Xenopus tropicalis: one gene and its partners. The protein of the gene in region 1 purifies or fractionates together with the protein of each later gene. This does not show direct contact. Links are inferred from orthologs where the notes say so. Each region holds a gene or a part of one and is shown in the gene's direction. Other genes may lie near its edges. The genes, in order: klhl22, nudcd3 and nipsnap2.

What was found.
Region 2: the proteins of klhl22 (region 1) and nudcd3 purify together in Homo sapiens (co-immunoprecipitation; 3 studies listed by BioGRID and IntAct, counting the BioPlex papers as one, with this or other methods). This does not show direct contact. The link is inferred for Xenopus tropicalis from reciprocal best matches to the Homo sapiens genes KLHL22 and NUDCD3.
Region 3: the proteins of klhl22 (region 1) and nipsnap2 purify together in Homo sapiens (co-immunoprecipitation; 3 studies listed by BioGRID and IntAct, counting the BioPlex papers as one, with this or other methods). This does not show direct contact. The link is inferred for Xenopus tropicalis from reciprocal best matches to the Homo sapiens genes KLHL22 and NIPSNAP2.

The regions. Positions count from the first base shown.
Region 1 is NC_030677.2:152,812,089-152,816,293, forward strand, and holds the start of klhl22 (kelch-like protein 22), read left to right. Parts: upstream 1-1,299; 5' UTR 1,300-1,400; coding exon of another isoform or gene 1,401-1,438; exon of another isoform or gene 1,439-1,516; coding exon of another isoform or gene 1,517-1,536; intron 1,537-1,598; exon of another isoform or gene 1,599-1,672; intron 1,673-1,751; coding exon of another isoform or gene 1,752-1,803; coding exon 1,804-2,030; intron 2,031-4,205. UniProt on the Homo sapiens protein: Substrate-specific adapter of a BCR (BTB-CUL3-RBX1) E3 ubiquitin ligase complex required for chromosome alignment and localization of PLK1 at kinetochores.
Region 2 is NC_030679.2:126,199,355-126,203,008, reverse strand, and holds the end of nudcd3 (nudC domain-containing protein 3), read left to right. Parts: intron 1-1,688; coding exon 1,689-1,877; intron 1,878-2,349; coding exon 2,350-2,460; 3' UTR 2,461-3,410; downstream 3,411-3,654.
Region 3 is NC_030678.2:98,148,771-98,152,424, reverse strand, and holds part of nipsnap2 (protein NipSnap homolog 2), read left to right. Parts: intron 1-2,253; coding exon 2,254-2,393; intron 2,394-3,654. UniProt on the Homo sapiens protein: Protein involved in mitophagy by facilitating recruitment of the autophagy machinery required for clearance of damaged mitochondria.

The DNA.
Region 1 (4,205 bases):
ACATGGGGCCCTCCGATAAGCCTACACAACTGATATCTGGCTGAATGTTGGCCATTGTTGTATGTGTAGGTTTGATTTTCCCGACCTCGCCTAAAAAGTTGATCTTATAGTAAATGGACAGCTTTAGGGTTGGGGTGAAAAATTTTGAAGCTACTTACCACTAAACTCATACCGTTTCTTATTTTAACCAGAGGGCAAAATGATGTCTAGAACATTTTGCTAAATCTTTTTTTGGATCACTCCAGGAAGCCCTGACTGCCAGTGGTCTATCCTGTAAAGCAGGGCAGTTTACATTTTCAAATCAAAATGCCAACAAAAATAAAGATAACCAGAAGTGATTTTGTGTTTTGCTAGTTATTGGATGGGCTGCTTGAAAATACTTGGGAAAATAATATGCACTCCAAAGAGGGCAGACCCACTGGCTGCAGTTGGTAGAAGTCCTGGCGCTGCCCCAATTAACCAACAGGTTTAATATACACTGGTAACTTTTTGGAGGACTTAGCATTAATTTACTTTGGGGTCCCCAGTAGTCAGCCCAAGCGGACCTGGTGCTTCCTTGTTTATACCAGAGGACAAAATCATATATAGCTATGTCTACATCTGACGTTTGTGAAACCAGGCCAGTGGTGTTTGGCTCTCTATGGGGCCTTAATACAACCAAGGACACTGGTCTTCCCTATAAGGCAGGGATATTTATATCTGCAAATCAAAATTACGACGACATGATGTAACCATGCATGTTTAGCTAGAAAGCCAGCGTCAGTTCATCCTTACTTACTTATCAACTTGATATATTTCAAGGAATATGCTAAGTTTCCACCAGGCCTCGCACTGCCTGCCTTCTGACTGCTGGGGGAAGCAGCACTTCTCACAGTAGGTGAAGTATAGCGTGCATAGGGAATACAGCGCGTATAGTGTATAGCTTGCAGGAGAGGGAGGAGACGGATCACATGATCAGTCAGCGCAGGAAGAAACCGTTGCGGCACTCATCATTGTTAGTACGGGGTACATTCAACATTCCAGAACCGTAAAGGAACTTCCGTGATGTCATAGCCTTGTATTGCCGCTTCGCTACGCGGTCTCCTGTGTTGGCGGAAATGACGTCATGGCCTAGGTGTTGAAAGAGAGAGTCAGGTAAAGACTTTTGTGGCTGCAGGTAACGTCACGAAATGGCTCAGGTCACGTGCTGCGTAAATGGCAGGATCCCCCCCCCCCGCCCCCCGTCAGGTTAAGGGCGCTCAGTGCTCTTGCTCTCCTTCTCACACCTATTCAGACAGTTTGACCTAATGTTTACATCCGGTCGCCTCTGCTCTTAGACAACTGAGCTTCAAATTGTACAACTATAGTTATCCCCAGGCAGCTGTTCAGATCACATTAGAACTGCAACCCTAAACCCCAGGATGTGGGTATTTGTAGTCCAACAACTACATAGCTACAGGTCAAGGCTCCATAGTTTAACCAACATTGTACAATGTAGTGTAGTTACATATGTAAAGATCACACCCTGCTTTGGTTTATGTGTCCTGTTGGCTTAGGGTGGGTCATGTTTTATTTTTACTTTCACTTTTTGTATGTAGAGCAAAGAGTTTTCTGTTTATAGTAGTTACAAGCTGTAGTCAATTGGTAGTGCAAGTCAGTTTCACAGATGTGCCTAAATTAACTTGAGCATTTTGTGAGTACAAGATGTATCTCTCAGAATAAGCTCTTTACCTCTTTATTGTGGCGGCTGTTAATGTATTCCATTCTTACAGATGCTCTTCTGGTTCAGCTGTAAGTTTTGTGCCCAAGGGATTCCTGCCAGCCATGGCAGAGGATTTAGAGACAATGAAGCCAAGCCAAGCTCCCCAGCAGCCATCACTCCCGCAGGGCAGCAGCAAGACGTACCGCAGTGCTGAACATTCCCAAGCTCTTCTGAGTGGCCTGGTAGCACTCAGGGATAGTGGGATCCTGTTTGATGTGGTCCTGAAAGTGGAAGGGAAGAGTATAGAGGCTCATCGCATTCTCCTGGCTGCATCCTGTGATTATTTCAGGTTAGTGACTGGGTACTTTTGAATTTCTCCACGCTTTCTGACAGGCATCTGGTGATGTTCTGGTTTTATTGAAAAACAAAGCAAATAAATTGCAGCCTAGACACATTCATCTTCTCCGCATAATAAGTATGCTGATGATTATGTCAGTTTGTATTGATTTGCACTAGCTAAGTTCCTGGTACAACTGGGGGTGCCTCTGAGTTTTATTCATAGGTGTATTCATATTGTATAGGAGGTTACTCTTAACTGAAAGGTATTTTCTAAATTATTATTTCTAACTTTTAAGTCTTAATATGGAATTAAATTTCACATTTAAATTACGCGCAGATGGCATTTTAAAGACTGAATCACTGGGGGGGGGTTGCCAAATATTAGGCACCTGCCAGTGATTGTGATTGCATATCTGAAACTCCTGGCCAGTGATCCTGCTAGGAGAAAACTGCACCGACCAGTGGTTAACACACGTGAGCGATCCTCTTCCTTCCTTCTCCTTTTCTTTCCACTTTGCATGCATGAAGAAGGAAGAGGATAGCTTTGTCACATACACCCCGGCCGGTGCTGTTTTCTCCTAACAGGAGCGCTGGCCGGGGATCAGGTAAGCAATTATAATCACTGGGGGGTACCTAACATTTTGGCATCCCCCAGTAATTGTAACTTTCCTTCTCCTGTAACGGCATGCTTAAGCAATGACACAATACAGACCTTTCACATTTTCAGTGCAATTGCATTCAATTTTATCCTCCAGTTAAAAGATGGTAAGCTGTACGCTTCACAGATGGGCCAGACCAGTAGAACAGTAAGTCAGGCTTACACATAAAGGTCCCCTTAGTCAGTGAGGTTACCAAACAAGGAGACATATGCCTTATCTGGCCACCCACATACTGGGCCCAATTGGACTTATCCAATTGAGCTGGTGCACAGAAGGGAAAGTTGTGCTCACCACTAAATTTTTCACCATTAGGCGGGGGTGCAATGAGGTTGTGACTACATGCATATAGACAACAACAAGAGGTCCTCTGCACTCCCCCATTACCAATTTATATAGAACATTAAGACATTCTGTGCATTAAGCTACAAAGAAATGCCCTCCCCTCTGAGCAAAACTTGGATTGTTTGTTCATATATTGCAATAAACTTCAAGCTGGTCAACTATGTCAAAGTCATCCCTGGTCTGGCCAGTCCTACAGTCACTTTTATCTGATTCAATAAGAATTCTACTGCTTCAATATACATTTAACAATGGGACTGAGTTCCACCTGCAACTTGCTTTCAAGATTAAATCTCCCAAATGGTTGCCTTTTATTGGGATCACCTGACTGTAGCTGGGGAAGGGTAGTAGCTATAACATGGAGCTGGCCACTGTATGAGACATAGTGCATAGACAGCTTTAAAATCCTGTAAAAAATATGCTGATAGTTACTAAGATTGTGATATTTGTCATCCCACATTAAAATTCTATAACAATCTTTTATTTGTAGCCTGGAGTCTTTATTTATTTAGCACTGTGCATTAATATTAAAAAGGAAGATGACTAGTGACTTCTAGGATCTGTGCTTGCGGCTCCTCTCTGTGGAGTAATTGAAAAGCTTATTCAAATCCTTCATTCTTTGCGGGTTTTGAATATTGTTTTTGATTTGCATTTGATTTCTTTATCAAAGCAGCATCAAGGAATATGTGTTTCAAATATCTAAAATGTAATTTTGATTACTTTTAATTTTAGTAATACTTTGTTTTAGAAATATGCAATGCAGTCTGCTTTAGCTTTAGTTAAATAGTTAAGTCTTGTACCACAGTGAAATTTCTATAACCAGCCCTTAGGGTAGGGTCACTCGTACCCATGTGAGTCTAATTTAAAAGGCTCTCAGTAACCAGCATAAGAAGAAAATACATTATAGCCCATGTCCTTAATCCAAGATATGGTTCCAGATTTAGCTGAATCCCAGGTTTTTGTTACCAGAATATTATTCTGACCAATCCATTAAGCTCCTATGGTGATAAATGTGCTGTAAAACGTGTTGCAAAAACCACCTCCTCTTTCAATTGTTTTACCCTTTTACTTGCCTTCTGTGTTTTATCAAACAGTTCTACCCATTTACAAATTATGTTTTTTGTTTTGTGACAAATTATGTTTAAATGTGTCATCTGGCATAACCGCAAACCCACCTAAGGGCAGAT
Region 2 (3,654 bases), on another chromosome or scaffold:
CATGGTCCCACCATGCACCCTGCATATAGATCACATGGGCCATGTCTGAGAGACCCACAACCTGTGGTTTAATCTTCAGTTATTATCAGCTTATTGAGACTTAGCAGGACCATACTCCCAATAGAACTCCTAAATAATTTCTACACTTAGATCAATAGTCAGCTTGGCCATACTCCTTCCATTCATCTCACCACTTAATAAGAACAAGTTGCTGGCCAGCTCCTTGGTTACTACCCACTCCTCTAAACTTTGTGGTTATAGGTGGGTGTATAGCAGTTTTTAAAGAAAAATGAACTTATACATTATAAATACACTAAAGCGTTTGTTTTCTCTCTTATTGCATATTTAAAGTTTCCTATTCTTGGTACATCTGGCATTTGGGTGCTTTATGGTTCTGCCATTAAATTTTACTCTCCCTGCTAGTTTTCTTTTGGAAACATATTTGATCTCATGGATTTTGTTATTAATAATGATACAAGTTTGCATCTGTATTCCTTCCATACTGTATTAATAACTACTTCTCTGGTTTATGTAGTATTCAATTTGTATATATTCAACTTGTATCCTATTTCTGATTCACGGGTGTTTATTCAAGTTTATTTGCATTGACTCAAAGTTCCCCTAAACGCCTTATCCCTGTCTTGCTTTATGGCTAAGATATTAGATATTTTTAATTCTATGAGTGTCCATTGAGCTCCTAAGCTCTCTGAATAAACATTGTATAGCATTTCCGTGCTCCCCATATTTCATTTTCAGAAACTTCTCTTGCATCTTTCATCCTTCCAATGTAGTTTGTGTGTAGTCATATGGTAGATTCCACCAAATTTTCATTCACTCCCTTATCATGACACATCTTGATTTGCTGCAGTCCCCTGCTGTCTGGTTTTTCACTCTGCAGGCTGTCTGCTTTACTGTCTACAATAAATCCTGCTGCAAAGCTTATTCATCTTGCTAGTTGTTCCTCCTCCCCTGACAGTGCCTCAAGAGTCCTTCTAGAATTATATCTAAATAAACCCAATGCCTACCCAAATTCTTTACATTCCAGTAAATCACCACTTCATGAGTTTATGTTCATCCCATGATCTGCTTCTTTTACAACCTTTCTCCATTATGCCTTCAAGACTTCTTCAGGGGCTCTACGTCTCTCTTTTTCCCTTTGTGCATTGTAATACTTGCCTCCACATTTCACCCATTGCTTTCCTAAATGGGACTATAAAACGCAGGATGTTGGTATGCAGCTAACAGTTCTGCTTCAGGGTCCAAAATTGTCTCATCAGTCCTGCATTCTTCCCCTTTTTGTTCATTAATAATCCATATGCAAGTTTGCAACAAACCTATTATCATTATTCTTAATAAAGCGCCAACAAATTGAGCAGGGCTGTTACATCCTTCACATGAGTCCCTGCCCCAGTGGAACTTACAGTATTAGATCCCTATCATATTCACACACTATGGGCAGTTTTACCAGGAGCCATTAACCTGCCTGTTTGGAGTGTGGAGAAAACTACCCAGGGGAAACCCATACATACACGGGAAAATATACAAACACATAGGTGATGTTGCTCATGAACCTTAATTCTCTAGGCTGCCAATTAACAAAAGTGCTGCAACCCCTCCATGTATCATTCAGAACGTGATGAAACTTTGTTAGTACATTGTATTTAAAGTGTAGTGGGAACTCTCCACAGATCAGCTTGAGTAAGTGTGGCGAGGTTTGGTGGAATGCCGTATTGGAAGATGAAGAAAAGATTGACATAGACAAGATCAACAAAGAACGCAGCATGGCTACTGTGGATGATGAGGAACATGCTGTTTTGGACCGACTAACATTTGATTATCACCAGAAGTTGCAGGGGAAGCCTCAAAGCCATGAGTTGGTAAGCCCTAAAAACAAAAGTATCATGATCCACACATTTCCCTCCTTCTGTTCATACACTGATTCACATGTTACTGTACATTTCTAAAGTTCACTAGACTCCGTTTCCACACAGACAAACCTGATTCCTCAAACTGATAGGAAGTTAAATATATAGGTTGACCTAATCACAGCTATTTCTTTAACGTTTGGATGTGGCCACAAACAACTCATTTGGTTTCTGTGCTTTAGTGCATTGGAAATGATGGCCATAAGTCTCTCTTCCTAAGCACACAGTCACACATCAAACTGGGGCAGTGGTGGCCCACCAAGGCTGCAACTTGAAGGGCACCCCTTTGCAGTCATCAGGGCCTCCCTCCTGGCGTGCCCACCCCCAACCCTGGGGCCCACCGGGTTTTTCCTGGTGTCCCGCCGGCACACAGATTTTGCCTATACCTGTTGACATTGTATCTCCTCCTGTTTGTTTCTGACAGAAAGTGCATGAAATGCTAAAGAAAGGATGGGATGCAGAGGGATCACCATTCAAAGGTCAGAATTTTGATCCAAGCATGTTCAACGTCTCGCCAGGGGCTGTTCAGTTCTGAGCTCAATGGACACACACTGGAAATCCTCGGTGCCCTGGCTTCAGTTTGCTGATTCACAGCTGGGATACGATGCCTTTTATTAACCAAGTTTTATGTCTTTTGGTAAACATTTGACTTTGGTGCTTGCTGAGACTGGATGAATTTCTGTGTGAACTCGACATTTACACATTTGCAGTTACACATGCAAATGATTTGCTCTGTATGAGGAGGGATATGGTCAATCTGTATTAATCATAACAAACCATACCATGCATTGGCTCCAGGGGTTACATCCTCTTCTACTGGTAATGTCACTTAGCATGAAACTTGCTAAACTTTTATTCCCTTAGAGGAGACATATATCCATCTGTTTAATTTTTCTGTTTATTTCACAGTTTTTATACTGCTTATATCATGAATGTGTAACAGGAGCATCCTTTACTGTGCTCTCTGGGTGCTGGGCAGACAGAATAGCAAAAAAGCTTGTTTTTCTGAAGCGAGAAGTATTTCCTGATGCTTCTCTGCACAGTTCTGTAGCTTCTGTCACACTAAGTAATAGAACTGAGCAGAACAGTAGAGGGTGACCCCTTTACACATAATGATATTTGCAGTGTGCAAACTACTAACATAAAAAAGTTCATGTAAATGAAAAAAAAATGCTCAGAAGCAGAATTTGACATTGTTTTATGGATGGGTGTATGTCCCCTTTAATTGTAATATTTAGCAGGTAGATGGGGAGCGCACTGGATCAAAAATGATCTCATAAAGCAGTTTACAGATGTCCGTCCCACATGACATGAATAAAACAACATATTTATAAATCGTTTGAAGCTTTCTCTATGGGTAAGATTGTATCCATAAACATAGTATATGAACCATATTGTTTAAAATTGTGTTTACATGTATTTAAAGGGGAAAGCCACAGTTTTGTTTAGTTTGGGTCAATAAATAAGAATTGCGTTGGAAATGTATTCTGCCTATTGTTTTAATTAGAAAAAGAAAAAAAATGTTATTTGTTTTAAACAGCACAAATGGTGAACGGTTTCATTTTATAGATAATCCCACTTCTTGGTTCCTTAGTGCAAGTGTGGGCTGATTTACAAAAATAGCTGCTAAACTGCACCAACGTAAATACCCATGGCAACCCATAAGATTGTTGCTTTCCTTTTTTTTAACTTGTAGAAGACCTGTTCAAACTCATTTCTTATTGGTTGC
Region 3 (3,654 bases), on another chromosome or scaffold:
TGTTGGCAAATCCAGTTGTGCAAGATAGCATCTAAGCTAGTAAACAAGACTTTTAATATTTCCCCAGATTTGTGTTATAGGTCACTTTAAACTACAGCTTGAAAGTGCCCTAAATACAGGGTCGAACTGGGCCGTTGGGACACCGGGAAAAAACCTGGTGGGCCCCGATGGCCCAGACCCGACCCGACCCTTGCTGGCACTTCCCCTGCCCGACTGTTCCTCCCCTGACACGTTAAATGTATGCACGCTCAGGGTGGACGTGGGGTGGGGGCCCCTGGGGGGGTTAAAATGAGGTCTGTTACAAGTTAAAAAAATAAAAAGGAAAGACCTGCTTAGTTGCTGTTGGCAAATCCAGTTGTGCAAAATAGCATCTAAGCTAGTAAACAAGACTTTTAATATTTCCCCAGATTTGTGTTATAGGTCACTTTAAACTACAGCTTGAAAGTGCCCTAAATACAGGGTCGAACTGGGCTGCTGGGACACCTGGAAAAAACCTGGTGGGCCCCGGTGGCCCAGACCCGACCCTTGCTGGCACTTCCCCTGCCCGACTGTTCCTCCCCTGACACGTTAAATGTATGCACGCTCAGGGTGGACGTGGGGTGGGGACCCCTGGGGGGGGTTAAGGGACACGGCCGGCGGGGGCACCTGGAGGGCCCCTGGGGCAGGGGCCCCGGTGGGCCCTGCACCCTCCAGTCCGACCCTGCCCAAATAGCATAATTAAACCACAGAAATATAAAGTTTAATAGTAAAGAAAATTAGGGTCAAGGTAATGCCACCCATAACTTTTTCAGGTGCTTTCACTGCAGCCCATAAATTTGGTGTTAAATTGAGAAAACAATGCAACTGCATGACAAGCATTTGTTCAGGATGAACAAATATGGGGGTAGAAGTACAGCAATTTTACTATCATGTTCAGATGTTAAAAAGATAACAGGTTCTCCATCACTATATACTACAGCAGTGACAATATTGTGCTACATAGACATCCTTACTGGGGAATGAAGAAACATTTAGCTTGGGCAGTATGCCAAGGCCTTGCGAGTAGAATAGTCGTGTAGGCCTATAGCCTAATAGTGGGTTTATAGAGATTACTTCTATAATGATTAGAAGTTATAAGCCAGCCTTGCCTGCTGCCAGAAGGTTTTGCAATAGGAAAAAACATCCCATTGTATTTAAGGTAAAAACTGTTATGTGCAATTGTGAAGCAGTAAGAAGGTAATGCTAAGAACAAGCAAAAAAGAAGAAATGAGCGTGCTTCTCATATAAATAGAAGTCAAACTGACCTAGTCTTACTTTTGGTTATGAGAAATCATAAGATACGATGTCTGATAGCTAAAAGCACAAAAGAAAAAGAAAAACAGTGATCGGGTAGTATAGTGGCAACCATGGAATTCAAAATGCCTGGTAGTCCATACAATTTTTAAGAGAACATTGCCTCAGACAGCATTTTACCAGGGGTGGCAAATAGCCACATTTCTGTGTTTTTCTGGGTTATTGTGTCTCAGTTATATAACAATGTATTATCTCTAAAGTGCTCCATCCTGTACTCCAGCAATAATCCATGAAAACAAGACTTATGGTGCAACAAACTCTATACAAGTTGTAAATCATGTGGAGTGAAAATATATTGAAAAACATTACACTGTGCTCAAGATTGTTTACTGCAGGCAAAGGGAGCTTATATAATAATTTAGTCCTTTTATGGCTTTCTTTTACTAAGGTTGCAGACATCACTGAAGAGAATGGTAGATTCTTCTATGCTGTTTTTCTGTCGCTCTGGTTAGAATAGTCTCTGGCACACAGTTTGAAGGACATTCTGCATGTGCCGGTCACCTGTTACTACAGACACATTCCCTAGAGCTATTTAAAGATGCAGTTAAATTCGCCTTCAGTCCATTTTTCATAAGGGAAATGTCACCCCATAAAGGGTAATAAATTACAAATTACAGGAATCTCCCTCAGACTCTATTTTAAACAAATAATTACATTTTTTTTTTAAATTCCCTTTTCTCTGTAATAATACAACAGTACCTTGTACTTTATCCCTACTAAGCAAGAATTGAGAATGTTGAAGATTGTAAAGCATTTATGTTTATATAGTTATAGTGTGGGGAGATAGACTTAGGCCAGGTGTATTATATTGTATATAGTAATATAAACTCAACGTGCTGCAAGAGCTGTATAACTTGGTCCTTTTGCCATGTCCATTTTAAATCTTGCTTCCCAGCTCTTACTGATATATTGTTATTACAGGGGTCTTGCATCATCGAGTCAGAAAGCCAGAGAAGACAGCTGGTTGCGATCACTCTTTGTTCGTAAAGTCGATCCACGGAAGGATGCTCACTCAAACCTTCTGGCCAAAAAGGAGATCAGTAACCTGTACAAAATTCAGTGTAATTATTACCACTTCTCAGTTACTAGAGCATACATGAAGAGAAGAAAATACTTTCATACAGAAAACCTCTAAGCTGGTATTCCTAAATGTTTTTTGTGATCTACTAAACAGAGGGCAGTTCTAGTGTAGCCTTTCAGACTTTCAGTGGGATGTTTAACCATTTTGGTTAACATCTTTTTTCCTGCAATTACATAGTTATTTTATGATTAATAGAACACCCTCTTCTCATGCAGTGTATTTGGAGTATGGATAATCCCATAAGAGGCAGATATATATATTGATCTATATATTTTGATCTATATAGTTCTGGTACAGGTGCAGTGCACTTCCCTTTCAGTTGAAGGAAACTTGCTCTCAGAAAGTCCCCAAACACTACCCATGGAACCAGAGCTATAAGACTGGACTGAAGTGTGAGATGTTGGTAGAAATGTTAGTGAAGGATTTGGTGATTATTGTTTTATGTATTATGGCTTATATATACTGCAGACTCCAGTCTACCTTCAGTAGCAGTATTCTTCACTGGCATCCAGGCCACACTACAGTTAGGATGAAGGACCAAAGTCTTTAATGTGAACAGACCTTTACAAATTAGGAAAATAAGATATTTACATAGCATCTTGGTTTTATGCGGCAAATTATTTACAATCTTTATATTGCCTGAAAGAAGCTTTTATATTGTATATTGATCAAGCCACTTTCTAGTTAATATTTTCATGTATGGCATGAATGGTCTTTCCTTCTTCTTGTTAATTATTAGCAAAACTTCACTATCCTCATATAATTTTGTGTGCTTTATGCATTGATTTATGACAAATATTTGTTTTAAATTATGATATGACTCACTAATGTAACAGCACTACTGCCATATTTTCCATAATGGTACACATGGAGTTTGCACATATTTATCACCTCATTAATGAAAAACCCAGAGAACAAAAGGCCAGGAAGTCTGAAGTAGTTAGCATCAGTAAGGGTTATGTTAGCAACATTGATATTAAAGGAAGACCCACAGAGAATGACTGCAAGGAATCAGAGTGCAGTCAAGCACCTTTTTGTTTGATGTGTGGCCAGCAGTAGACATCAGGAAACAGCAAATCCTAAATAGCAAGTAAGCGTCATGTTCAACATTATGTGATGTATGTGTGATTTAATCTTTCAATATGGCTATGGCCTCACTTCTGGGTTGATTTTGACCTTTTAGTCCCATGTAGGAACATAGGAATTATGCTATGAGATGTCTTGCCATACTTGACCGCCAT